Linked DNA regions of Pelodiscus sinensis. The main gene of each other region encodes a partner of the protein of the gene in region 2 in a complex. Links are inferred from orthologs where the notes say so. Each region holds a gene or a part of one and is shown on either strand. Other genes may lie near its edges. The genes, in order: DPP3 and AGT.

Region 1 (12,444 bases), on a different chromosome or scaffold from region 2:
GGAGGCTCTAATGACAATGACAGTGCTGAGATGTGGCTGGATGAGGTTATATTTTGCTCATTAACTGGGAGACCATGTAGAACTGCAGAGCGAATGCCAGGGTAGATTTACCCATCTTGTCCCTTTAAGGACTGAAGGTCTGCTGAGGCGTCCAGAGGAAGCTCTGGCTGAAGCAGCAGCATGGTGTGCGCTCCGGAAGCAAACCTTAATAAAACTGTCCCTGGATGGGGGACACTGAACGCTCCACCCACTGTCTGCAGCATAGCGCCCCCTAGTGCTGCATTGGGGTCAGCACTGATTGCGAGGGGGAAGAGTCCCTGCTGAACCCTCCATGCCCCGAATAGCCTGGCTAGGACATTGGGGCCAGCCCTCACCATGAAGGGAGAGCAACTCTATTTGGAAAACAATGGGAGGGGTGGGTGGGCACAGCCCACCCACTTCTCAAAGTCCCTCCCCCAGCCCTGTGGGAAAAATGACTAGACCCAGGGTCCAACTAATTTCTGGGGACAAATAATGACATAACAGGATCAAGGTGTGGGGGTCAAAGGTTTAAAACAAGGGAACCAGACGGGGACACCGAGCAGAGAACCCCGGACAGCGCCCACTGCTCCTCAAAGCTGTCGATGGAGCCAGTGGACGCCACTCAGAGGAACTCTGCCTGGATGCGTGACACAAGGGAGGACCAAAAATAGGCCCCACAGTCGCAGAGAACCCCCTCGTCTAGCATCCTCCTCTTGGTATTGTATATAGTAGCTTTCTCCAGGGCCAGGAGGAGGTTGACGACTCAAGGGGACAGACCGTGGGCCTTACATGTGGTCTGGTCTCCTGTGCCAATGGATGGGATGCAGACGTAGAGGATTCTGGATAGTGCCTGGGTAGGAGAGTATTTTGGATAATGCCTGGGAGGCACAAGAGATTCTGGATAGGGATGCAAGCAGGGAGGATTCTGGGTAGCCCTAGGGAGGTGCAGAGGTCTGTGGCACAGGCACAAAGGATCATGGGTAGCACTCACAGTTGGGGATGTTGATGCCGGCCGGGATCCCACTGCCTGCAAAGGTCAGCACATCCAATGAGGTGAAGTCCGGCATGAGGAAGGTGTCCTTCTCGAAAGCACGGGGCCAGGGCAGCTCCAGCAGCAGCTGCTCAGCTGATGCCACCAGCTGCGCAAACTTGGCGCTCATGGCCTTGTTCACTACAGCCACGAATCCTGGGGGAGACAGTGGGTGCTGTGGAAGGGGCTAGCTAATATTGCCTCTCTGCCAGCCAGCCACGCTCCACCCACCGCCACCAAATGCAACCCAAACAGTGGCACAAACTACACTCCCTCCCTTACAGGCACCCCAAAGCAATTACAATACACACCCACAGCCCTCAAAACACACCTGCAGTACACAGTTGCAAGAGACACACCCCTAAGATGGAAACACCCCGCTCAGCAGTCAGCCACACCCTAACACAGTTGAAGTACACATGCCGGGAAGCACTCACCCCGGCTCACAGTCAGCACGTCCCCTTCCCTCCCACTACTTCAAACCGCGGCCCTCAGAGTCTGAGGCCAGTGTGTTTTACCTTCAAACTCCCCCCGGGAGCCATAGGGGTCTCGGTAGCTCTCGATAAAACCGATGTAACTGTAGGAGGAGAAAGCACATTAGATGGCCTGGCCTGCCCTGGGGCAGAGGAGACAAATCCCTCTGGTTCGCTGACCCCAGGAGGCAAATATCCCTATCAACAAATCCCTCTCCTTTCCCACCCCTCCAGTTGGCACCTGACTTCTCTCAAAACCCCTAGCTGCCGCGCCTCCCTGCTCAAACACCATGTCCCTCCCACAGCTGGGGACATCCTGGTTCCCAGCCTTGACCTTTCGACAATAGGCCCCTTGTCACGGATCCAGCAGCGGGAAGCCTCCTTATGAGCAGCAATGGAGCCCTGGGTGAAGCTGTGGATGTAATGTTCCAGCATGCTCTCCTGGTTGGTATTGGCAGCATAAGCCTGGGAGAAAGATCGTTGATCAATAATGACTATTCCTCTGAGTTCAGCCATTCCTCTCCCCAACCCCCTCCATACATTTCTGCCACTTCCTCAACCTCAGGAAGTGAGAACCCAGGAGTCCTGGCTCCCACTTCCGCCTCCCAGAACTGGGAACAGAACCCAAGAGTCCAGGCTCAGTCCTTTGGCTCCAAGACCATCCCCTCTCTCCGGATATAAAACTAAGGTTTTCCCCTGGTGCCAGGGTTAGGGTTTAAAACCTACAAACGTTACTGAGAGATCCCCGCCCTCCACCCTCCCACAGCCTCGGACCAACCCCTCCCCAGTGCATACGCCGAAGGGACATGCATGCCTTTGTACGTTGTAGGTTCTCCACCACTTTCTCCAGCAGGGGTGCGTAATCCCCGCGGGTCACACAGAACTTGCAGCTCTCAAATTCAAAGCAGCGCAGCTTGGGGGCCAGCTCAGGATCGACAGGTGCGTCTGGAGAGAGACCCAGAGACACACAATTCAATGGGGAGGTGAGGGGAAGACAGCAGGGACTGGGGACTAGCATGGGAGTGGGAGCCAGGCAGCAGGCGAGGTGGGTGGTATAAGGGAGTACAGGTTGGGGAATTGAGGACAGATCCAGACAGTGTGGGAAGCATAAGTCAGAGGGAGTCAGGGAGGTGGGTGCTGTGGGGAGCGCAGACCAAGGAGATCCAGTGAGAGGGCAGAGGATGGGGAGTCTTACCAGTGCCCAGCACGGATGCCAGCCGCACCTCATAGCACGTCTGCCCTGCCTCATCCTTCTTCTTGAAGAGCCGTGTGTTGTAGGCACTGATGGTCTAAGACAGACAAAGAGATTTACCCCCATCTGACACTGCTCCCCACTCACAGGGCACTCTACAATCCCATGCAGAGGTTCTGGGATCAGAATGGGAGCCAGTCTGGTGCTGGGCACTCCCCTGTATGCAAGGGTTGTAGCAATGCAGAGGCAGAAAACACACCCCACAAAAGCAGTCAGGCTTGGGGTTGCCACGGGGGGACCCGGGGAACGTCCCATGTTTGCGCAACAACAGGTACCTGTGAGTCGAGGAACCTCTGGGCTAGCTGGGCATCTTCCAAACTGCAGTTCGCAGAGAAATAGGTGGTAATGCCCTGTGGGAGAGGGCAGGATGTTACAGAGAGACAGCTCAGCCCTATCTTTTCACTGCGCGCCTCGTCTCCCAGCTAACCCTCATCTTCCCCTGGCTCTAGGGTGACTAGAAATTGCTAGGATTTTTAATCAAATTTTTAAATGTACAGCCAATTTTTTAATCATTAAATAGACTTCTCTTTCCCAAGAAAATGTGTTTAAAATGCAGTTTGAACTCCTGACAGGCTCTGTCAAGCCCAAAACGTACTGCAAGCCATTAGGAAGAAATACACAATAGAAGAATATAGTACTTGGATGAGCCCTCCTCAAATCTTAAAGGGGGAAGTGCACGGCTTGCATACTTATATGAGCATTTGGGGCTAAACCATCTTTAATGGCAGAGGATGAGCCAAGCTTTATGCAGCTCACAACGGCCTGCATGTCCAGAGGACAGAGCAGAGTGAGACCTGGGTATGCCATCAGTTTGCCAATGGAGCAAGCACTGCTATCTGCATTATCTGAAACCACAGTTCTTTCAGTTTCTGTTCTGCACAAAAGCTCCCGCCTTAAGTTAGTTCTCTAGTTCAACCAGGAATTAATTCAGGGCAGCCCTATGACCTGTGACCTGATAAGAAATCAGACGACCGCAGTGGCTCCTCGTAGTCTAGAAACCATAAATCAACCCATATGAAGGGTTTATACCAACCAATGAGAATAAACCTTACTTTAGGAAAGCAACTAAAAAGTACAAAGAAAAAACAAGATGACAATAGGCTATTTCAATCAAGGTTTCCTGCTGGCTGATTTAAATCACTATTCAAATCAGTAGTTTAATCACTGATTTAAATCAATCCACCATGGTTGCTCCCAACCCTCCAGAATCATCATGTGTGCACAAGTGGGGTATTACCTTCTTTCCTAGCCCCAACTGTCTCTGCCGTGGGTCCAGTGAGAACATCAGCTCCCCACATCTACCCCACAGTGACTCCATTTCCTCTGGCTGCTCCTGGAATGCCTGGCTCTGCCAGATCAGCTGCTGGAGCTTGTCCTAGGAGGCAAAGGAGAAAGGGACTGAGCTGTGACTGAGAGGGGAATAAGTGGGCTGGAACCATGATATATGTGTATCGGGGCAAACAGCAAACTCCCCCTGCCTCTCTCCATAGACTATTCAACTCAATCAGGTACCTGCCTCGCAGCCAGTGAGGGGGATGGAGAGTGATGAATAGCTGGGTGAGGCAGATAAATACACACCCTGCTGCAGGCAGCTTGCACAGAGCTTTTGGCAGGAGGATGAATCTGTGTTGGGGAGCAGTGTTTTCCCATAGACATTCCAAAACATGTTTCAATCCTGTGCCCCAGACATGTGGTCCCTACCTCCACCCCCCGCAACCACAGACTCACCTTGGGCAAGTTGGGTACAAACTTGGTGTCCCCAAAGGATTTGTAGTTCCCCATGTTGGAAAACACGCCAGCAGCATAAACCAGGAACGCCTAGGTGAGAAGAGGAAAGATCAGTTCCAGCCAGGCACCCACCTTTCCTTCCCTTTCTCTAGCCCACTAAAAGCGAATTCCATATCAGAGCCAAACAAACCCAGCAGATCAGCTTCCCAGCCCCTTCCCACTGCTTTAAACCATTAGACTTTGCTCCCCACCCAGAGCTGGGGACGGAATAGAACCCAGGCCTTTGGGTAGGGCGGTACCTGGTACTCCTCGTCAGTGAGGCCAGCAGAGCATGCCAGTTCCCCCAGCTTGTTGGGGTCCTGGGCGCGGAAGAGGCGGGAGAGCAGCACGTAGATGGCTGGTGCTTCAGGCGAGGTCTGGAGCAGCACAATCAGCCCCCCATACCAGCAGGCACGCGACAGGTGGTGGGCATAGAGCCGCTCACCCTGCAGCAGCAGCCGGAAGGCCTCACTGCAGTCCAGAAGTGCCAGCCCCACATCGTTAGGCAACACGTACTGGGGGTCCACCATCTCACTGGTCAACCTGCAGAGAGAGCACAGGTGTCCCTCAGTCCCAATCCACAACCTGTGTTCAGTCCCAATTCACAGCTCCCCACCCTACACTCCAATATCCGTCCCTAGGTTGGCTATATCCTCCTCACCACACTCCCATACAGCAGAAAGTCAGCGAGGACAGACAGCTGACAGCTTGTGCCCCACAGCTGAGCCAAAGTGGCATGGGCACAACTAGGGGCACAAGCACAGTCATGCAATAGCCTATCTGGCTCACCCACAAAACCACACAATTGCCCTTCCCAGCACCACTGTACAACGACACACCCAGCCCAGGATGCAGCACCCTGCGAAAAGCTGGATAAGGGATCCTGCCTGCATTAGCTGCCCCAAGCCCACCCTAGAGGCGACTATATCTCCGCATCAGACCCTCCCGACCGTGCCCCATTGCACCGTCACCCGCTTCTCTTGCAGCAACATCTGCGCCCACAAGTGCCTGCACACACCCCCAGCTGCGGGCGCATCCCCAACTCCCTGTGCCAAGGCCCCGGCTCTGGCTCACACCCGGCGTCTCCCCAGCCCGGGGAAGGCCTGTGCCCCTTGCACCGCGGGGCCTTCACCCCCCCACGCCTCCCACTGATCTGAGGATTTCCCCCCTCGAGCCCCAGGCACGCCCCGCCCCCCAGTGGGGAGCACGAGACCCCCCCCCCCCCCCCCGGCACCCAGCTCACGCTACAGCACGCGCCCTGCGCCCCCACCTGCCGCCGCTGTCCTGACTTCCTGCTTGCAATGCAGCCAGTCCGCCACCGGCTTCCCCATTCATAACCTCGGCCCCGGACCACCCACCAATCCGTGCGCCCAGCCGGGGAGACAGACGCTACGGCAGCCAATCGAGCAGCGGGAGCGTCAGGACTTTTCCTCCCCAGCTCCTCCCCTTCCACACGCGGTACCTTAAAGGACTGGTCCGTATGCTGTCGCTTCAGGTGCTGTTGTCACATAACCAGTAGAGGGGAAGGCCTCGCTCATCTCCGAGCTAGCCAGGCTAGCTGCCCTGGGTCTGGCTCAGCTGGTCCCTCCAGTGGGGGGAGAACCCTGTGCTCCCCATGCCCCGACAAAGCGGATTGGGTCCCGCACTTTCCAGAGGGTTGCAGGCTGGAGTACCTGGAGCACAAGGAATGTGGAGGGAAGGTTGTTAGCCTGATTTACAAGTGCGTGTGGCTTTTCTGATTTTCCAGAAAGTTTGCAGCCAAACCCATATGGTGGGGTACTATGATCAAAACCCTGCAGGATTACAAATATTGTATTTGTGTCTGCACCTGTGGGATTGTCGGGTATTGACCTGGACAGTCTGATTTTTGCCTCCTGTCTGGTTTAAAAAAAAATACAGAAAATACTGGACACCTAAAATGTCTGGTATCTTCTGATTTTTTTTTCCCGGCCAAGAGGCGAAAATCCCAGGTGCTTACTGGGTTCTGCAGGGGCGCTGTCTGGCCTTGAACAGGGAGACAAGATGGCGGGCGGCTGCCAGCAGCTTGTTAGGGCCAAAAAGCCTCAAAAAGGTCAGGCTGTTTCTGTTTTTTTTTAATTTTTAAAAATTTTTTTGCTTAACTCTCAGGGTCCTTTTTTGTTTAACAACTTTGGTCTCCCCACTTTCTTCTCAACAGAATTTTTTCCCCAGTGGTTTTTTTTTTGGGGGGGGGGTATTTTTGGTTAAACCATCTGGCAACCCTATGCACCTGTACCTGCAAAAATGAACTGCAGATAGCCACACTGACATCCGCTGATACAGACACCCACAGATATCCACAAATTTGCAGTTTTCTAGATACAGAATTGGTATCCACATCCCTGTCTGCAAAAATGAGCTGTGGTTATCTGTATCCACATCAGTGAAGGCCTGTGGATTTGCAGGGCTCTATCTATGGTGGGCTGCCTGTATCCACTGGCAATTTTACAGGAGCATGATTATTAAACTACCATATATTTGAGAGTTTGTGAACAAGCAAATCTGTATGTCCAATTGTCTGTTCAAAAACTCCTCCTTAATGATAAGAGCTAGGACCACTAAATGTGGTATGTGGCTTCCTCTTTTCATAATTTAAAGTAAGGTAGGGGTTTGATTGTGTGAGGAAGCCCTCCCACATGCACACTTGATTTGTACAGGGATGCATAAAACCATACAGAAAAGTGACAGAATCACTAGGCTTTCCTCCTTCCCTGATTCATACAGGAACATTACTGGCTGTTCCCTTCCATCAGAGAGCAAGTGGAAAGTGCACCTTGAACTCTCCACCTTTGGCTCTGGATACCTTCGCCACTGTGCCACCAGAGGAGCCCCCCAACATTCTGCATCCCCCTTATCCTTCCTTTGTCCCCAGGGTGCCAGGTGTGTACATCACAAAGCTGGTGGTGGCTGTCCCCGCAGGGGTGGGGTGGGGTTAAGGTTAGGACACAGTTTGTTCCATTCCTCTATCTGGAGAGCGCAGGGGACAGAAGAACCATGACCTGCCCAAGCTGGGGGACATACACCCCTCCCCGACTGCCTGCTGCAGTTGCAGTGGCCATAGAGAGGCACTTCTTACCTAGCCCCAAGCTGCTGTGGTGAGAAAGGGCTGGAGTAGTTCTCTCTCCCCAGGGCGGCCTGCATACTGAACCCCTCATTCCCAGAGCAATGATTTAAATTAACTGAGTTATGGACCCAAGCAATGCTGGGTAAATAGTCTAGTTATTTATATTACAGGCATACTGATCAGATTTGGATAGCAGGAGCAACTTTAACCATGATTCCAGAAGCTACTTGGAAACCTAAAAACCTTTGGTTTTTTCATATGTAATAACTTTTATAGAATTTTCCTGGAAGATAATATCTAATTCCTTATAAAGAAAATTGAATAAATATTAGACCCACTCAACTCTAATACTAACATGTTCAGATACCTTGTCTCAAGACACTTAAGTGACATTGGTTAGGCTTAAAATTTTAATGTACAGGCAGTCCCCGGGTTACATGGATCCGACTTACATCGGATCCCTACTTACAAACGGGGTGAGGCAACCCCACACTAGCTGCTTCCCCCCAGCAGACCAGGGAGACGCGAAGCTAGCGCCCCCGCCAGCAGACCAGGGAGACGCGGAGCAGCTTTTCTCAGCAGACACCTCAGCTTGAGAATAAAGGACTGAGGGAAGTGAGGTGTGGGAGAATAAAACTGAGCTCTGGAGAAATGTTTGGCTAGAGTTTCCCCTACAATATGTACCAGTTCCGACTTACATACAAATTCAACTTAAGAACAAACCTACAGTCCCTATCTTGTACGTAACCCGGGGACTGCCTGTATATTCTTACTTTGTTACTATCTCTTGAATACAACAATGATAAAAATTACAGAAAAAAATCGAGATGACTTTCTATCACTTTTTTGCAGTTCATCAAGCTTTGAATAGATTCCTTAACTTTTGGAAACATCCTATTTAGGGCAAGACCCAGGGACTTCATACTGCACCCACCTGGCGCTCCAGCAGTGTTACCCCATGACAAATAATAAACTAGAAAATTACTTTAAACACTACCGAAACTGACTTTTTCAAGTCACTTTCATAGTATTGCCAACCCCAAATGTTCAATAATCAAGACTTGGGCAAAACAAAAATCATGAGATTAGCTTTAAAATAATGAGATTATGTAAAAATAATAGATTTGGTGTGTTTTTTAAAATTATATTCCACTTTTGATCCTTTAAGGTGCACTGGGGTCACATTTGGAAGCTTTCTCTGCAGCCAGAAAAGCTAGAAACTTCCTGTGTCTTTAAGAATGAAGGCTGAAATAATACCGTATCACTTGACTCCAGGTACTGGGGCTTTAAGGAATGCAATACTTATGATGAGGCTCATAACAAAATCATGGGATTTGGCAACACTTCCGTTCAAAAGCTAGTTACTTTCCAGAAGGGTCTTAAACATAAGGCTACAGGGATTGAATTGCAGTTTTCACAGGAGAATATTTTAAAATCAAACACCAAGAAAAATTCCATGTTTTAAAGATGGAGGAAGAATGAGACTTCTGAGATGTCAGAGCCATTGGGGCAGGAAAGGAAAATGAACAGGCCCAAGAGCTCTAGTCAGCTCTTCCTCTTGAAAGAAAGTTGGAGGGTCAAATCTTCTAGTCTGTAATCAAGTACAACTTCTCTTGCCATCAGCACTACCACTCGTAGACATAAACATCACCATGAACATGTAATAACAGGTGTAGTCAATAACTCTACACTTCATACTTAACTGTCTGAGCCATCTTATCAGAGTTACACATCTTACACGCATTGGCCAAGGGACTACATTTCCTGGCGTATTCTCAACAGTGAATCACACTTTTAATGACAATAAATGTCAACTTTATGGATTCTTGTAGATGCAGTTTCTGTTCTTTGTTCTGGAATTGGCCTGGGTACAGCTGAAACCCAAAGGACTGGACGTATGATCACATCTGATACTCATACGACACTTTCTCATTCCTTCCTTTTCCCAAACTCAGAGCCAAAAATGAGAAACCAAAATGGGTTTCAGTTCCAATCTAAAATTACCCACCAGGTGTTGCCGTACAGCTTTGTCCAGGGCAGAGCCTGTCACCCACTGATGGGTAAGTGCTCTTCTCTCAGCAGACTCCCATTTTCTTTCTCTCTTCATCCTGCCTGACTTCTCTGCTGCTTTTCACACTGTCATCCAGTGCATCCTCCCAGTCACCTGGCACGGATTGCTGGAGTCTTAGAGAACTGGCTGGCCTGGTTTTGTTCCCATCCATCAGAGGCCTTTTTTTTCAGCATGGAGAAAGGCTGGAGCAGTGGATAGTGACCTCATATCTGAGTTCTACTCCCCGCCCACTGCTATGGATTTCCTATATGACCTCAGGCTGTATTTTACGGACATTTCAAAGGGTTTTAAGCAACCAAAAGTACAGCTGTGTTGTGCTTAAAAGAAGCACCCAGGATCTTTTTCAGGGGGATAAGGCAACACGCCACATTTATTGAACATACATAGATCAATCAATACTTATCATATGCATATTACACATTACACTCATGCACTCACACACACAAGCACACTCTGGCTGTGTCCAGACTCCATGCCTCCGTCGACGGAGGCATGTAGATTAGCCAGATCGGAAGAGGGAAATGAAGCCGCGATTAAAATAATCGCGGCTTCATTTAAATTTAAATGGCTGCCCCGATCTGCCGATCAGCTGTTTGTCGGCAGATCGGGAGAGTCTGGACGCGATGCCCCGACAAAGAAGCCTTTCTTCATCGACACAGGTAAGCCTCGTGAAACCAGGTTTACCTGTGTCGATGAAGAAAGGCTTCTTTGTCGGGGCATCGCGTCCAGACTCTCCCGATCTGCCGACAAACAGCTGATCGGCAGATCGGGGCAGCCATTTAAATTTAAATGAAGCCGCGATTATTTTAATCGCGGCTTCATTTCCCTCTTCCGATCTGGCTAATCTACATGCCTCCGTCGACGGAGGCATGGAGTCTGGACACAGCCTCTGTCTTCTTGTTACCAAAAGTTGCTCCCCCTAACTGCACTGGCCAGGTGAGTTAGATGTGGGAGGGGTGGAGCCGGGCTTCTGCGGATCCGGATTCATGCTCCTGTGTTGACAAGATGAAAACCCGGGGTCCCTCTGCAAGATGCCTCCTATTTATCCCTCTCATGCAGCCAATTAGTCATCACCTGGCCTTTCTTAATGCTGCTTCAAAAAGAGTTCTTCCAAAGGCAGGCACTTGCTGCTTGACTCCTAAGGCGTCTGTAGATCCAGTCTTCTTAATGAGCTCACTCTGCAGGTATTGTCTTAGATCTGGCTCCCAGACCTTCTCCACCCTTGCAACTGCTGCTGGAGGTGCTCACCTTTCATTCTCCATCACACCTCATTCATTTCAACAGGACAATCAAGGAAAGAGGAGAGCTCAAAATACATTTTTTCTTACAAGATCTCTATATCTTAATACAAAGTTATAGGAGAAATGTTACAGAGATTCTATAAGAACACTTAACAAAGATATATCTAAAAGGACAAGATCTTAATACAAAATATAATATTACAGGGATTTATCCACAGCTGGGTATCTCTTGGGGGATACAAAGCATGTAGCCTTCTAGGCACTTTTGAAAGCTTTAGGTGCCTATATGTCTGAAAATCTGGCCCTTATTCTCTCTGGCTACGTCTAGACTGCAGGCTTCTTGCGCAAGAAGCCTTTTGCGCAAGAGTTTTTGCGTAAAAACGTCTTGCACAAGAGCATGTCCACACCTCAAAGCGCATCGCAAAAGTGATGTGCTTTTGCGCAAGAGAGCGTCCACACTGCATGAACGCTCTTGCACAAGAAAGCTCTGATGGCCATTCACAGGAGGAGGTTTACCTACACCAGCAAAAGCCCTCTGTTCTGTCATTTTACTGCTGATTTAATTGCACAAAAGTGCATTTGAGGTGTGGATGCTCCTCTGGTTTTTGCACAAAAACCTTGCAGTGTAGACGTAGCTTCTGTGCCTTAGTGCCCCATCTTTATGGACTGAGCTGTCAATTGATGGATCTCATTTTCTTTCACGCCATTGGTGAACAACTAAACCAGTCCTCGATAGGCAAATCTGTTTATGGATGTCACATAAAAATCTGCCATCTGTGGGTGTTGTACATTCTTCACATCCTACACTTTTCTTGTCATGTCTGGATACGTTGATTCTCAATGGCTTTGTCTATACTGCAGGGTTTTTGCACAAGAAGCTTTTCGCAGAGGAGATCTTCCACAAAAACTTCTTGTGCAAAAGCATGTCTACACCTCAAAAGTGCATCGCAAAAGCAATGTGCTTTTGCGCAAGAGAGCATCCACACTGCATGGATACTCTTGTGCAAGAAAGCTCTGCTTGCCATTAACAGAATGGCCATCAGAGCACTATGCTTTTTTTGATAGGCTCTTTGTGAAAGAACCCCCTGTGGAGTGTCCACATATAACCACCACCAGGCAAATTTGAACCTGGGACCTCTGTAGCAGAGTATAGGAGCCTCTACCCACTGAACTAAAAGCCAGCTGGCTTCTAGCCCATCCTGTAGAGGTCTCTTAATCTTAACTGTTGCTGTGGTCTAGGTACCACTTGCATTGTTCAGTAGCCACACTAGGGCTATGTCTACACTCGCGGCTTCTTGCACAAGTATGGCCATTCTTGCGCAAGAATCCGCAGAGCGTCTACACTGCCTGCCTGCTCTTGTGCAAGGAAATTTACAGTACGGCGTGGTAAGAGAGGGCTCCTTGCACAAGAGCTACACTTTTTTTTAACAGGTTTAAGCCCTCTTGCGCAGGAGCTCTTTCGCAAGAGGGCAGTGTGGACGCTTGGCAGGGATTTCTTGCGCAAGAA
Region 2 (11,725 bases):
TGAAACGAGCCAAGCACGATCTGCTGCACAATAAATATGGGCTGCAGCAATGGTTATTTTCTACTTCATCTGTGTCTGAATTGCTTTTCTCTAGCCCCTGGCATGTATGTGCATCTTCCTAAGAGAGCAGAGGAAACAGAGCTGGACCAGTGAAGCAGAGCAACAGGACAAACAGACATCTCAAATCAATCAACCTGTGAGTTTCAAACACAGGGGAAAGCGTTCTAAAGCAATAGCTTTGTTAAAGTTAAACTCTGCTTCCTCTGGCTGTGCCCGGCACACTGCAAGATTAAAAGGTAAGACTCGCCTTATCATGCCTGTTCTTTTTACAATATCAATTCTGTCTGAGTACCTCAGGGCATGACTACACAGCAGGGCTAAAGCCAAAATAAGCTACGCAACTTCAGCTACATCAATTGTGTAGCTTAAGTCAAAATAGTTTATTTCGGCCTTTGGCTCTGTCTACACAGCAGGAAGTTCTAGAGAGAGCACTCTTCCTCCAGCTGCCCTTACTCCTCATGAAATGAGGGTTACAGGAGTTGGAGTAAGAAGTCCTCCAGCTCGACATTATTTTGACATTATGTCAAAATAACTTCTTGTAGTGTAGACACGGAGTATGTTATTTTGGAATAATGTCAGGTATTCCGAAATAACACTGCTGAGTAGACGTATCTTTATAGACCAGTCTCGTGATAAACTTGCTGCCTCAAAGAGCCAGTGTCTTTCATCGGAGGATCTCAAGTTAGTTTACTGAGACCCAGTTTTTCCTAAAAAGTTAGGTTGACTCAGCTAGTTGCCCATGGATGTGAAAAATCTCCCCTCCCCTCTCCCCCCCGAGCAACACAAACTTACCTAAGCCCTGGTATAAAGAGCGGTAGGTCTAATTCCACTGTCAACCTCGCAGATGCCTCTCACAGAGGTGAATCACCTATGCTGACATGAGAAGCCTTACCATTGGCATAGGGAGAGGCTACCCTGAAGCGCTACAGTGGTGCAGCTGTACCCAGGGCAACAAGGTGAGTTCTAGGTAACCAGAATGGAACTGCCCGGATGGGACTGTTCTCCTAGTCTTGTGAAACGCTGCTTCTCTTTGCTGAATGCTGCTTTCTTTTCTGGGGAGGGGACTGGACCAGGAGCACTTCCCACCTGCACCATGTGAAATGGGCAGGAATGGAATCCTGACTTCAGTAGAGCTCAGGGAGGTTTCTGATATTCCCTTGCGTAGGGCCAACACAGATGCAGAACAAGCTGGCAGTGGGCATGTGTGAGGGGGGGCGCACTCACCACCGTAACCCCCTGCCATCTGTCCTCCGGAATTGGCTCCCTTGGCAGGTAGGGTGCCTTCTCTGGGGTGGTGTCTCCCCTCTTTACTCCCGGCTCCGGCGTCCTCTTCGCCACACTGCCCTCCAGCAGTGCCCAAGTCTGTCTCTGAGCCCCCCTTCCGGGGGTTGATGTTACTCCATCGGGCCTTCTTTCAAGCCCTGCAGTCTGAGGATTTGCTGGCCAGAGCTCCCCTAGCCCTGCCTGGCCTCCCCAGCCCTGCCCTAGCTCCAGGGAGCCTCCTCCTCCCTCAGCAGCCAGGTTCTCACTGCTTCCCCTTTTCACAGCAGCAGCCCATCCTCTATTATAGCGCCCAGCTGGGCCCTAATGGACTAGTACAGCCTCAGCTGGGCTAATCTCCCCGGCCCTGGTTCCGGCCGGGGTCTGCCCTTAAAGGGCCAGTGCAGGGCGAGCGCCCTGTCACAGCATGGCTGGCTTGTTTCATTGGCTGGGGCCCAAACAATGTTTTCTCTAATCGTTTCTATCCATTTGCAGATTTTTTCCATCCCCGTGTGGAATAGAATTTTATGTGTACCAAGGCATGTACAATTGTGCACCACCAATTGAAACACAAAACCTAGCTATGGACTGTCTGCCAGTCAGCTGGGCAGCATTTGAATATTTCCCATAGGCACACAGCTTATGGGAAATAGTGGACACAAACCTATGGATCTTTATACAACTGGTCAGAAGAAATTGCCTTCCAGTCTTTTCTCAGTTTCCCTTATGCACAGCAATGATGCTGTGGCTGGTTTACAGATGTTGCCTTCCACCGTCTGTCTGTAAATGAAGTACTGATGGCATATGCAGCAGGGGAGAAGGTTGACCTTGTGCCTAAGGCACAGGTATGGGACTCATGAAATGTGGACTCAGTTTATGACTCAGAGACAGACTTTCTGTGTGACTATGGGCAAGTCACTTAATCGGTAATAGGGGGGTTGTAATACTTCCTTTCTCCCACCCTTTGTCTTATCTATTTAGACCATATGCTCTTTGGGTAGTGAATGTCTTTGTACAGCACTGGGAATAATGAGGCTCTTGAGCTACTAACAATGCAAATTATAAATCATAATAGCTGTGCTATATGTAGTAGAAAGTCCCACCTTGCAGTACTCTAGGTTTTCAACTGAGGTTTTCCATCTAACTGCTGTGATCAGCCTTGATCCTGAGAAAGCAAAGCCCAAGACATCAGAGTTGCGAGGGGATATACGTGCCGAGTTGCAAAAACAGATGAGTCTGGAGGTCATTAGCCCTGAGATTATCCCCTGAGATTATCATTCAAATTAATGCTCATCGTTCTTACCTTTTAACTGAATGTAAGTCAGAAACAGCAGGCTGGTAGAAGGGTCTATGTTTGTCAGTACATTCTTGCTTTTGCTGGTATCTTTGTCTTTTACAAAGTTTTCTATTAGTTCTGCTGCCTGACTCGGGTTTGTAAAGTCAACTGCCCGGGCATAGAAATAATCAGAAGAAGGGGCCAGGCTGTTCACAAGTGATTCAGATAAACGGACACTGGGAGCAGAGAAGAGGCAGGAAAGCTTGGAAAAAAGTAGGTCACCAGCTCCACTTGAGAGGGGCAGGTTCTCAATGGTCTTCAGGGTCAAAAGGACTTTGTGTCCATCCACTTTGGAGGTGCAGTCCGGGTCACCGGAGGGAGGAATGAATCCCAAGAACTTCTGTAAATCATCAGCTGTCTGTTCGGAGGCCCCTAAGTAGAACGATAACAAAGACCTGTAGAGAGTGGTAGGTGACAGGAGAATGTTTTCACCCTTCAGAGTTTCCTTCAGCACATCATAGAAGCGCATACCAAGAACATACACTAGGTCTTTCAAGTAGCTCAGCCTCTGGTCACCCTTGATATCTGAGCTTTGCCTTTCCAGCTTGGTTTTGTCTTTCAGGGTCTCTTCATAGGCAGGGATGGTTTGGGACTCAATAGAAACGGGAACAAACATTTTCTCTTCTTGCATCAAGTTGACCAGGTTCTCACAGCTGCTTTTGTTATAGGAAAACAAATGGAAGGGGTGGACGTATACCCGGTCGCACATTACGGGGCTCAGGCACAGGAAGAAACACAGAAGGCTCCTTCTGGGATTCATGGTGAAGGACAATGTCAGTGAAGTCTGTTTTAAAAAAGGAAAAGTGGGGGGGTTAGCTAATTAACTTGCTGTCTACTTTGCTCCTTTCTTCGGGAGTGTGTGGTGTTAATATGGCTTTTCCTCACAGCACAGGAATCCAGACGAGTGGGGGTTTTCTAAAAGGGTTTAGTATTGGTCTGACTCTGCCCTTACTGAAATCAATAGTAAAAGGTCTATTGAACTCAATGGAAGCACATGCTGGGCATAGGCGCCAACTTCCTTAGTTGTCAGGCGGTACCCGCACTCCACCGTAGGTCCCATCCACTCCATCCCTGCCCTACCCTACCTCCTCCTGCCATACCTCTTCCACCCTTTCCCTTCTCCCCCAGTGTCTCCCGCGCATCACCGAACAGTTGATCAGGGTGGGCAGGAGATGCTGGGAGGAACGTATCATTGGGGCCTTTCTGCAGGTAGGAGGCACGGATCCATGGGGCTGCTGGTGAGTGCTAAGTACCCACTGTTTCTTTCTTACAGCCCCACAACCCAGTTTTACAGCTCCACAATCCAAACCGGAGCCAGCTGACCCAGGCCAGCCATGAGTGTTCAGTTGCAGGGTAGACCTACCCTGGGAGACTGTCTTGTCTGTGGGATTGTTCAGTCTTTCCTGGGTTCCTTAGTGACCCCTCTCTACAGCCTCCTTTGAAAGAACTCTATGAGTTCTGGCAGGGCTCTGTGCCAAACGGGACAGAGAGACTGTCACTCCTAATATTCATAGAAGAGAATACAGATATTGTCCTAGATTGTCATAGACATGTTGCTGGCCACCGTTGTTACCACCCTCACAGTTTCCCAGTGCAGCCCAAGTCCCAGTATTACTTCCCCCAAATGAGCACTGAGGCTGTGTCTGCATCTGAAAGAAAAGATTTCACTCTCCGAGGTGGCCAGTCCAGAGCCTTGCACCAGCACTGCATAGATGCATTCAAAGCAAAACTACCCCTTCAGCCAACAGCTTTACCAGCCTTTGTGCTTAGGCTCACCTTGCCCTCTTATGATAGCTTCCTCAGCTCCAGCTCCGCTCAGCCCCTGCAGTATCTGAAGTACTGTACCATGACGGCTGGCATATTTATGCTTTTTCCAAAGGGAAGACCCTTTCCTACTGTCCCCAGTGCTGTTCCACAGAATGACATTGCATCACCAAGTGGAGGGGTGAGCGGAGACTAGTTGGGACCAGATGAAACACGAGGATAGCTGAACACTAGACCTATTGGCGGGTTTAAAGATCAATACACAACCTTTAACCGAGCACAGTATAACCTTCTGTTACACATTCACTGGCCTGGACTGTGACAGTCTGTTATGCATATGAGCCCATATGAGCCAGGTCTTGTAACCTTTCACCTCTTTCCCTTTCCTGCTGACTAGAGATACATTGCTCCGTTTAGGACCAAATTTATTCCTGGTGTAATTCCATTAATATGTGACTTTAAAACCAGTTTAAAGCTGCACTGCAGAGACATTCTTCTAATAATTGGGAGTGGGCCCTTTGCACTAGAGTAGGGTTGCCATGGCTTTGGAAATTAATATAGGCCTAAAGAGAGAATGTTGGCTTTCAGAAGAAAAGTATCTTTTCCCCGTCTTTCATTGCAAGGATCTCTAGCAGTATAGACGCTAGAGATAGAGGTGGTAGAATTGTGCATCCGGCACATCTCTGTGTACAACCTAAGCAGCAATTAAGAACTCCAGGAGGTAAAAGCAAACAGCATCCTATAGACACTGGTTGTACACGCAAAGACAAAGGTATAGGCATTTTTCTAAATTAATCCCATTGGACTACAGCCACTTTAAGCGTACACAGAAAGCACACAAAGCTCTCAAACCTGCTCACAAATCAGTGAAGAAGTTCCCTGTCTTGTTTCCCACGCCTTGTGTCTGATTTCAGGAGCACGATTTGCTTCCTATATGATTCCCACAATTGCCTAATCTGGGTTACATATTAGCTTTCCCCTCTTATCAGATTTCTGTTCAAAATGTTCTGGGATACGGTGCTGGGTTTTTCCATTTGTTATTCATCGTCATTGTCACCTTCTGTGAGGAAAAGCAAATAATGGCTGAAGAGCTGATTTCATCAGTATCACAGTCATTATTTCCACTGCCGCCTAATGGCTGGTCTCTTTGGCAATATTGAAATTAAATCCGTCTGTGACAGGTATTCTTACTGCCCTGCAGGGCCAACGTGGAATCATTGCTGTCAGATGAGCCGTTCTTAGTGTGTAAACGTTGTCAAATACTCTCCATAACTGTTAATCCTAGCAGAGAGACCTTAACCTTACAGCTAGCTAAAGTGTAAATATTATGTACAGAGAATGCAAAGACATTTGATCCAGGTACTTGTTTCTGCAGATCAGCCCAAGGATGTAGGCTACTCCTTTGCTAAGATGGACAGTCTACACTCTTAATAAGTGACTGGGTGATGGGGAAAGATCTGGGAAAGGCAGGGGGAAATTCACCACTTTGCTTTTGCACAGAAATAAATGTAAATAATGTATTCAGTTTTGTTCAATCTGGCTTCCCATGCTTCCTCCTTTTGCCTGAGACCTTTCTGCATTAACAAAATAAAGGGGGCACATGCATGGTTGCTGTGACTCTCTTGTCTTTAGTGATATGCTGAGAATTGCTCTGAAGGCGGCTGCTGTGGCTAGAAGGTAGTACTGATTCTCTACCTTTGTTGGCATGGCCCATGGCTCATACTTAAAACTGGAGTTTGTCCCTCTCCACAGAATAAGTTAACATGCCTTACCCACCTTATGAGACTAGGGATCCATGTATAACCAACCCAGATGTAGTGAAATTCTCTTTATAATGAAGCAAAATGGCCATGTTCAGGGTTTTTTTCAGTGCATAGCAATATGCAAATAACAAGTCTGAGGGTAGTGAAGCTCTGCTTTGTTCTGGGAATAAGTGGCTTCATTGTAAAAGGGTCTACTGTACAGGTAATGGAAATTAATACAGGCCTAAAGATATACCTTTTGGCTTTCAGAATAATAGAATCTCTTCACCATCTTTCATTTAAAGACATCCAAGAATATAAACTCCAGATGGAAAGGTGGTTGTTCGTCTGATGTTGTTAAAATAGGATACACCTTGAATAGAGCTGAGCAAATACTGCATTGAAGTATTTATAAACATTCATTTGCAGAAAAGCTGTGAATTTGCTTTCATATTAGTGACTTTTTTGTTTCCCTTCAGTGCTTGTAACCATTCATGAGCAAGGAGAATCAGGGGGAAAGCAGTAGGGACAAGGGAAAGGAAAGCATATGCAAAGATAGAGGAGGAAAAGTTGATGTAGTTACAGTGAAAGACGTAGCTCAATTTGCATAGCTGATTTTGAGTTAAGCCCTGCTGCGCATATGCACCTAATGGGTAACATGCTGAAAAGTACCTAAGTGACTGAGGAGTCCACATTCTGTTTTCAAAAGTGATTCAGGCACTTAGGTGCCAAAATCTCATTAAGACACACCAGCATGTCTAAATAACTTTTTAAAAATGAGTTGTAGGTTCTTATATCGCTTAGATGCTTCTGAAATTCCCCCCACCCCCCTCAAGAAGTCTGCACTGTGAATAATTTTGAGAACCCTGACATAGATGTTGTATTAGGGCTTGCATTTAATTTCTTCATGCCCTCCAAAATCTGTGTTCTCCCCTCTCAATTTGCTGCACATTAGCAGCCAGTTTCAAAGTAAACAGACTGAGGAGGGCACAGATCAAGTTTTAGTTTAAAACTAATAGAGTTATGAAGAGAAATAAAAAAACACTTTCCTCTTACCCTGTGAGAACTATTGCAATGCTGTTCCTGATTTGAGCCTGATTTTATTTATTTTTGCTAGCTGTGATGGCAAAAGGCTATACAAAGTGATTTTGTTAATTATTATAACAAAACATAGATAAGAAATAGCTTGGTAAGTGGTTTTTCCCCCCCTGTATTTATTTACAGATCTGACTTCTACCCTTGAACTCTGAAAGCACTAGTCTCTGAAGGCAGTGGGCTATTGTAGAGGGCTGGACCAATTTTTGCATTAAAAAAACCCATCAAATTATAGCATTCAAAGTACAAATGATGAAACGGGCATTATTCTACCTCAGCATTTGCCACAAGTTCCCATGAGGAAGAAGAGTGTGAAAATCTGTGACAAACTGGAGACAACAAGCAAGAAGGTCTAAGAGTTCCAAAGTTTAAAGTTGAAGAAGATTTTTACTGTTGCTTTGTTTTGAGTATTATTGGGCCCAATTTTTTATTGGATATTATTTGATTCCTACTCAGACAACATGTGTATTTAAGCCAAGGAAAGGCTGAGTAAGGACTTCCAGGAGTTTGTCTCGGATAATTGCCCCAAAGAGGGCCAGTACCTCACAAGTCTTGTGATGCGCCTATCATGGCTGTCTTCAGAGACACAGAAATTCACTGCTTCCCACAAGAGCTAACAAAGCACTATTTCAAGAGACTATTGTGGCTTAAAGGGGCCAGAATGACATCCTTGGAGATTGAAGTTTTCCATTCATCCAGTAGCCTGTCTGGCACTGGCTATGTCTGATTCCCCACAATGCCCCTCCAGCAAACCTGGCATCAGCTTGTGCAGGGTCTGTGGGAAATAACACATGAAAAGCCCCCATCTAGCTGCCTCTACACATATGAACAATCCCTCTTCCCCCACACTCCCTCCCCCACCCCTCAGCTCTCCTTGTTCTAGCCTCTCAGTCTCTGTAGGGTGGCTGCCAAGGAGAGACAGATGAGCATCCAAATTAGTGTGTCTAGGGCAGCTTGATTTCCTCCCTCATGCACTCAGAATAATTAGGATGCTATGACCACACCTACATGCACTAGCCCTTAGCAGACAAAACTGAATCTGGCATGTCATCCAATTCTAGTGCACCTATTGTTGTGTTGTATCTGAAAAATGGCAGAGTGCCAGGATTTTCAGCTCATGAGACACAGAGCTCCACCTCAGCGTCCCATCTCTGGCCATACGGCTTTGTGAGGCCACTGTCAGCCATGGATTTTCTCCTTCTCCCCCCTGGGCTGCACAATTTGTTTTGCTGCAGTCACTATGGTAACAAGCAGGGTGAAGTGCAATGCAATGCAACCTAGGGAAGTGTTAGATGATGAATGACAACACACAGCCTTGCAGGGCTTGGAGAGTGGCAGGTTGTGTGAGAGAAAACAGGGAGCAGGGGGAAGAGAAAGTGAAGAGAAAAGAAGAGCAAAAACATGACTATTACTTGCATTACTTTGTACTGAGGTGGCTCCTACAGGCCCAGGCCATAATGGTCCCATTGTGCTCGTGGCATACCAAGAGACAGAACCCGCCCTCAAAGGCTTACCATCTAAATTGATAAGACAGGCAAATGGTGGGAGAAAGGGAGGCAACCCACATGCAAAAAGTTAAGAACTCAGTCAAACGGAGATTAAGTGACTTGCCTCCAAATCCAGAGTCATCCATTTCTCAGGCAACCAAGGTCAAAACACAATCTAAGCCTCCCTCTTCTTTGACTAAGAACTAGGATGTGCCTTTTATACAACTTCCCTTTTCCCAGCTGGCCTTGCTCCCAGCTGCTCATAGTCATTTCATCCCTCTAGAGCAGGATGGGGAACCTCAGGTCTGGGGGGCCAGATGTGGCCCTTGGCTTGCCTAGATCTGGGCCCTTGAGGCTCAGGGATGCCCCCCAGCACTGGGGAGCCTGCACTGGCACTCAAGTCCCCTTGCTGCCCCAGCATGGGGCTAGAGCACACAAAATCTACTAGCCCAGGCCCCCCTAGGCCCTGGTGTGTGAGGGGAATGTGGGGAGTGTCTTTCACATTCTCAGTCAGGGGCCATGTCAGTGAGGGTTTTGTTTTGGTTTTTTGTTTCTCAATTGTATTTGGTCCCCAATTGGTTTTATTGTGGGTCAGTGGCCCCTGATCCAAAAAAGGTTCTGCCCCCTCTCCCACCATTCTAGAAACTACAAATACCAGAACACCTGTCCAGAATTCAGAGCAGGACACAGGTCTGCCCTTAAAAATAAGCCCAGCCTATAATATGAAATTAAACCCTTTTCAAAACAATATATTTGTTGCAAGGAAGTATTCAAATAGTCATCACAAAATTTCCAAATTTCATTCAGCCTCCCACATATTAACATTCAGGTAGAATGAAAGAAAGTGATCAAGTTTATTCATTAATATTGGAGATGCACTTGTTACGTTAGAGGCCTTAGTTATGAATTCACACTGTTTGGCACTGTTAAGCTAAATACAAATGCTGTAGGGCTGTGTCTACACTGGGCCACTTATTCCGGAAAGTCAGCTGCTTTTCCGGAATAAGCTGCGAGCTGTCTACACTGGCCCTTGAATTTCCGGAAAAGCGACGACGCTCTACTGTACAAAATCAGCTGCTATTCCAGAAAAGCTACGCTGCTCCCGCTCAGGCATAAGTCCTTATTCCGGAACACTGTTCCGGAAAAGGGCCAGTGTAGACAGCCCAGTAGTCTTTTCCGGAAAAAAGCCCTGATCGCGAAAATGACGATCGGGGCTCTTTTCCGGAAAAGCGTGTTTACATTGGCCACAGACGCTTTTCCGGAAAAAGAGCTTTTCCGGAAAAGCAGCCTGCCAATGTAGATGCTCTTTTTCCGGAAATACTTATAACAAAAACTATTCTGTTTTAAGCATTTCCGGAAATTCATGCCAGTGTAGACACAGCCTAGGTGTTTTAAACACAGAAAGCCTAATTCTCCATTGCCCAGCACTCTGTGGAGCCTGGATGCCAGAGCACAAAATGCTACCAAATCAGACTGAAACCATCCACTTTGCACTAATGTGGATGATTACAAGGCACTGGAGAATCAGGACTGGAGTATTATGGCTGCTAAAATCCACAAAGACACATAAGTGAGTTACTTATCTAATAAACACAGGAAAATAAAGCAACAACAGTGGCAAAGTCCTTTGCAAGCCTCTGATAGCCCCACTTCATTCCTAGGTTTAGGTTCCAGCTGTAGTTATAATCGCCTTCACCTAACACATCTTTTCCACTCTGTCAGCCCAGACTGTTGCTGACAGTGTAGTGGTAGTGCCCAGTCACTACCAGTACCACAAAGCTGCTGCACCACAGCCTGACTCGAGCTCCGGCAGCTGCCTGCCATGTGGCCCACACCAAGAGCAGCTGGACAGCCACAGCGCGGCCCTGGCTGCAACTCCAAGATAACCAGTTGCTGCAGAAGAACATCAAATGTTTTCTATAAATTTACAAGATAAACACTGAAGAAGCATAAAAAACAACTAATAGTCTTGCAGCACCTTAGAGACTAACAAAACATGTAGATGGTATCATGAGCTTTTGTGGACACAACCCACTTCTTCAGATGACTGGAGTTATTAAAGGTCCAGTTTCTAAATAAATAGGGGATGGGAGGAAAAAGAAATAAAGGGGAAAGAAATAGTCAGTGTGTCCATGTTACATGAAGCTGATAGAGAAGGTATTAATTGTTCTTAAGTACCCATTGTTTGGTTTTTTTATGTCATTAGGATGTGGAATGTAGCAGGCCATCTAGCCAATGTCTATATTCATACCTCTATTATAGGAATCGAACTTGTAAATGAAGTTACGTTCTAAGGCCTCCCTGTGGAGTTGGCTTGTAAAATTGGCCTGAAACAATATAGTGACTTTGAGATCCATTAATGAGATCCCGGGCAAATTCAAATGTTCTCCAACAGGTTTGTGTGTGTTGCCTTTTCAGATATCTGATTTGTGTCCATTAATCCTTTGTTGTAGAGACTGTCCAGTTTGGCCAATATACATGGCAGAGGGGCATTGCTGGCATTTGATAGCTTGGATCACATGAGTGGATGTGCAGTTAAATGAGCCTCTGATGTGGTGGTTTATGTGGTTAGGTTCTGTGATGATATCGCTTCTATAGATGTGTGGACAGCTAGTGAAAATGAAAATGGCTTATGGAGGAAATCACACCACCAAATCAGAGGCCAGGAAAAGAAGGACAAGAAAACAGTCACATCACTACCCCGTCTGTTAAATCAGCTGTCTTGACATCTCTCTATTTGGATAACCTGGACAGTGAGGATGAAGTTCTAGCTGTCTCAGACATGAAGATTCATTCAACTAGAGGGGTGCAATCCAGAGGCTCAGAGAAGAACAGGCAGCAGCAAAAAAAGCCATTTAGACTTGACGTAATGCCAAGACCAACTTGCTGAATGGAGGGAAGGAAAGTAAAGCAACACCTAACCCAAGCCAACAGAAGCTGCAGAATTCTATCAATATCTTATTGTTGGACAGCAAAACACT

Evidence for each region.
Region 1: the proteins of AGT (region 2) and DPP3 are in contact, whole or in part, in a crystal structure (PDB 5E2Q), measured with the Homo sapiens proteins. The link is inferred for Pelodiscus sinensis from reciprocal best matches to the Homo sapiens genes AGT and DPP3. Residues at the interface, in NP_001369746.2 of Homo sapiens: Asp25, Arg26, Val27, Tyr28, Ile29, His30, Pro31, Phe32; in NP_005691.2 of Homo sapiens: Phe109, Glu316, Tyr318, Glu329, Phe381, Gly385, Ile386, Pro387, Ala388, Gly389, Ile390, Asn391, Ile392, Asn394, Arg399, Val412, Leu413, Val415, Ala416, Phe443, Val447, His450, His455, Glu507, Glu508, Asn545, Arg548, Leu552, Glu555, Phe556.

Annotation. Positions count from the first base shown.
Region 1 is NC_134721.1:32,444,809-32,457,252, reverse strand, and holds the start of DPP3 (dipeptidyl peptidase 3), read right to left. Parts: upstream 5,916-12,444; 5' UTR 5,879-5,915; coding exon 5,814-5,878; intron 5,809-5,813; exon of another isoform or gene 5,787-5,808; intron 5,087-5,786; coding exon 4,804-5,086; intron 4,595-4,803; coding exon 4,505-4,594; intron 4,152-4,504; coding exon 4,014-4,151; intron 3,127-4,013; coding exon 3,052-3,126; intron 2,814-3,051; coding exon 2,720-2,813; intron 2,470-2,719; coding exon 2,339-2,469; intron 1,990-2,338; coding exon 1,859-1,989; intron 1,629-1,858; coding exon 1,570-1,628; intron 1,208-1,569; coding exon 1,013-1,207; intron 1-1,012. UniProt on the Homo sapiens protein: Cleaves and degrades bioactive peptides, including angiotensin, Leu-enkephalin and Met-enkephalin. Also cleaves Arg-Arg-beta-naphthylamide (in vitro).
Region 2 is NC_134713.1:122,674,627-122,686,351, reverse strand, and holds the start of AGT (angiotensinogen), read right to left. Parts: upstream 5,433-11,725; 5' UTR 5,281-5,432; exon of another isoform or gene 5,273-5,280; intron 4,601-5,272; exon of another isoform or gene 4,433-4,600; intron 3,441-4,432; 5' UTR 3,417-3,440; coding exon 2,624-3,416; intron 1-2,623. UniProt on the Homo sapiens protein: Essential component of the renin-angiotensin system (RAS), a potent regulator of blood pressure, body fluid and electrolyte homeostasis.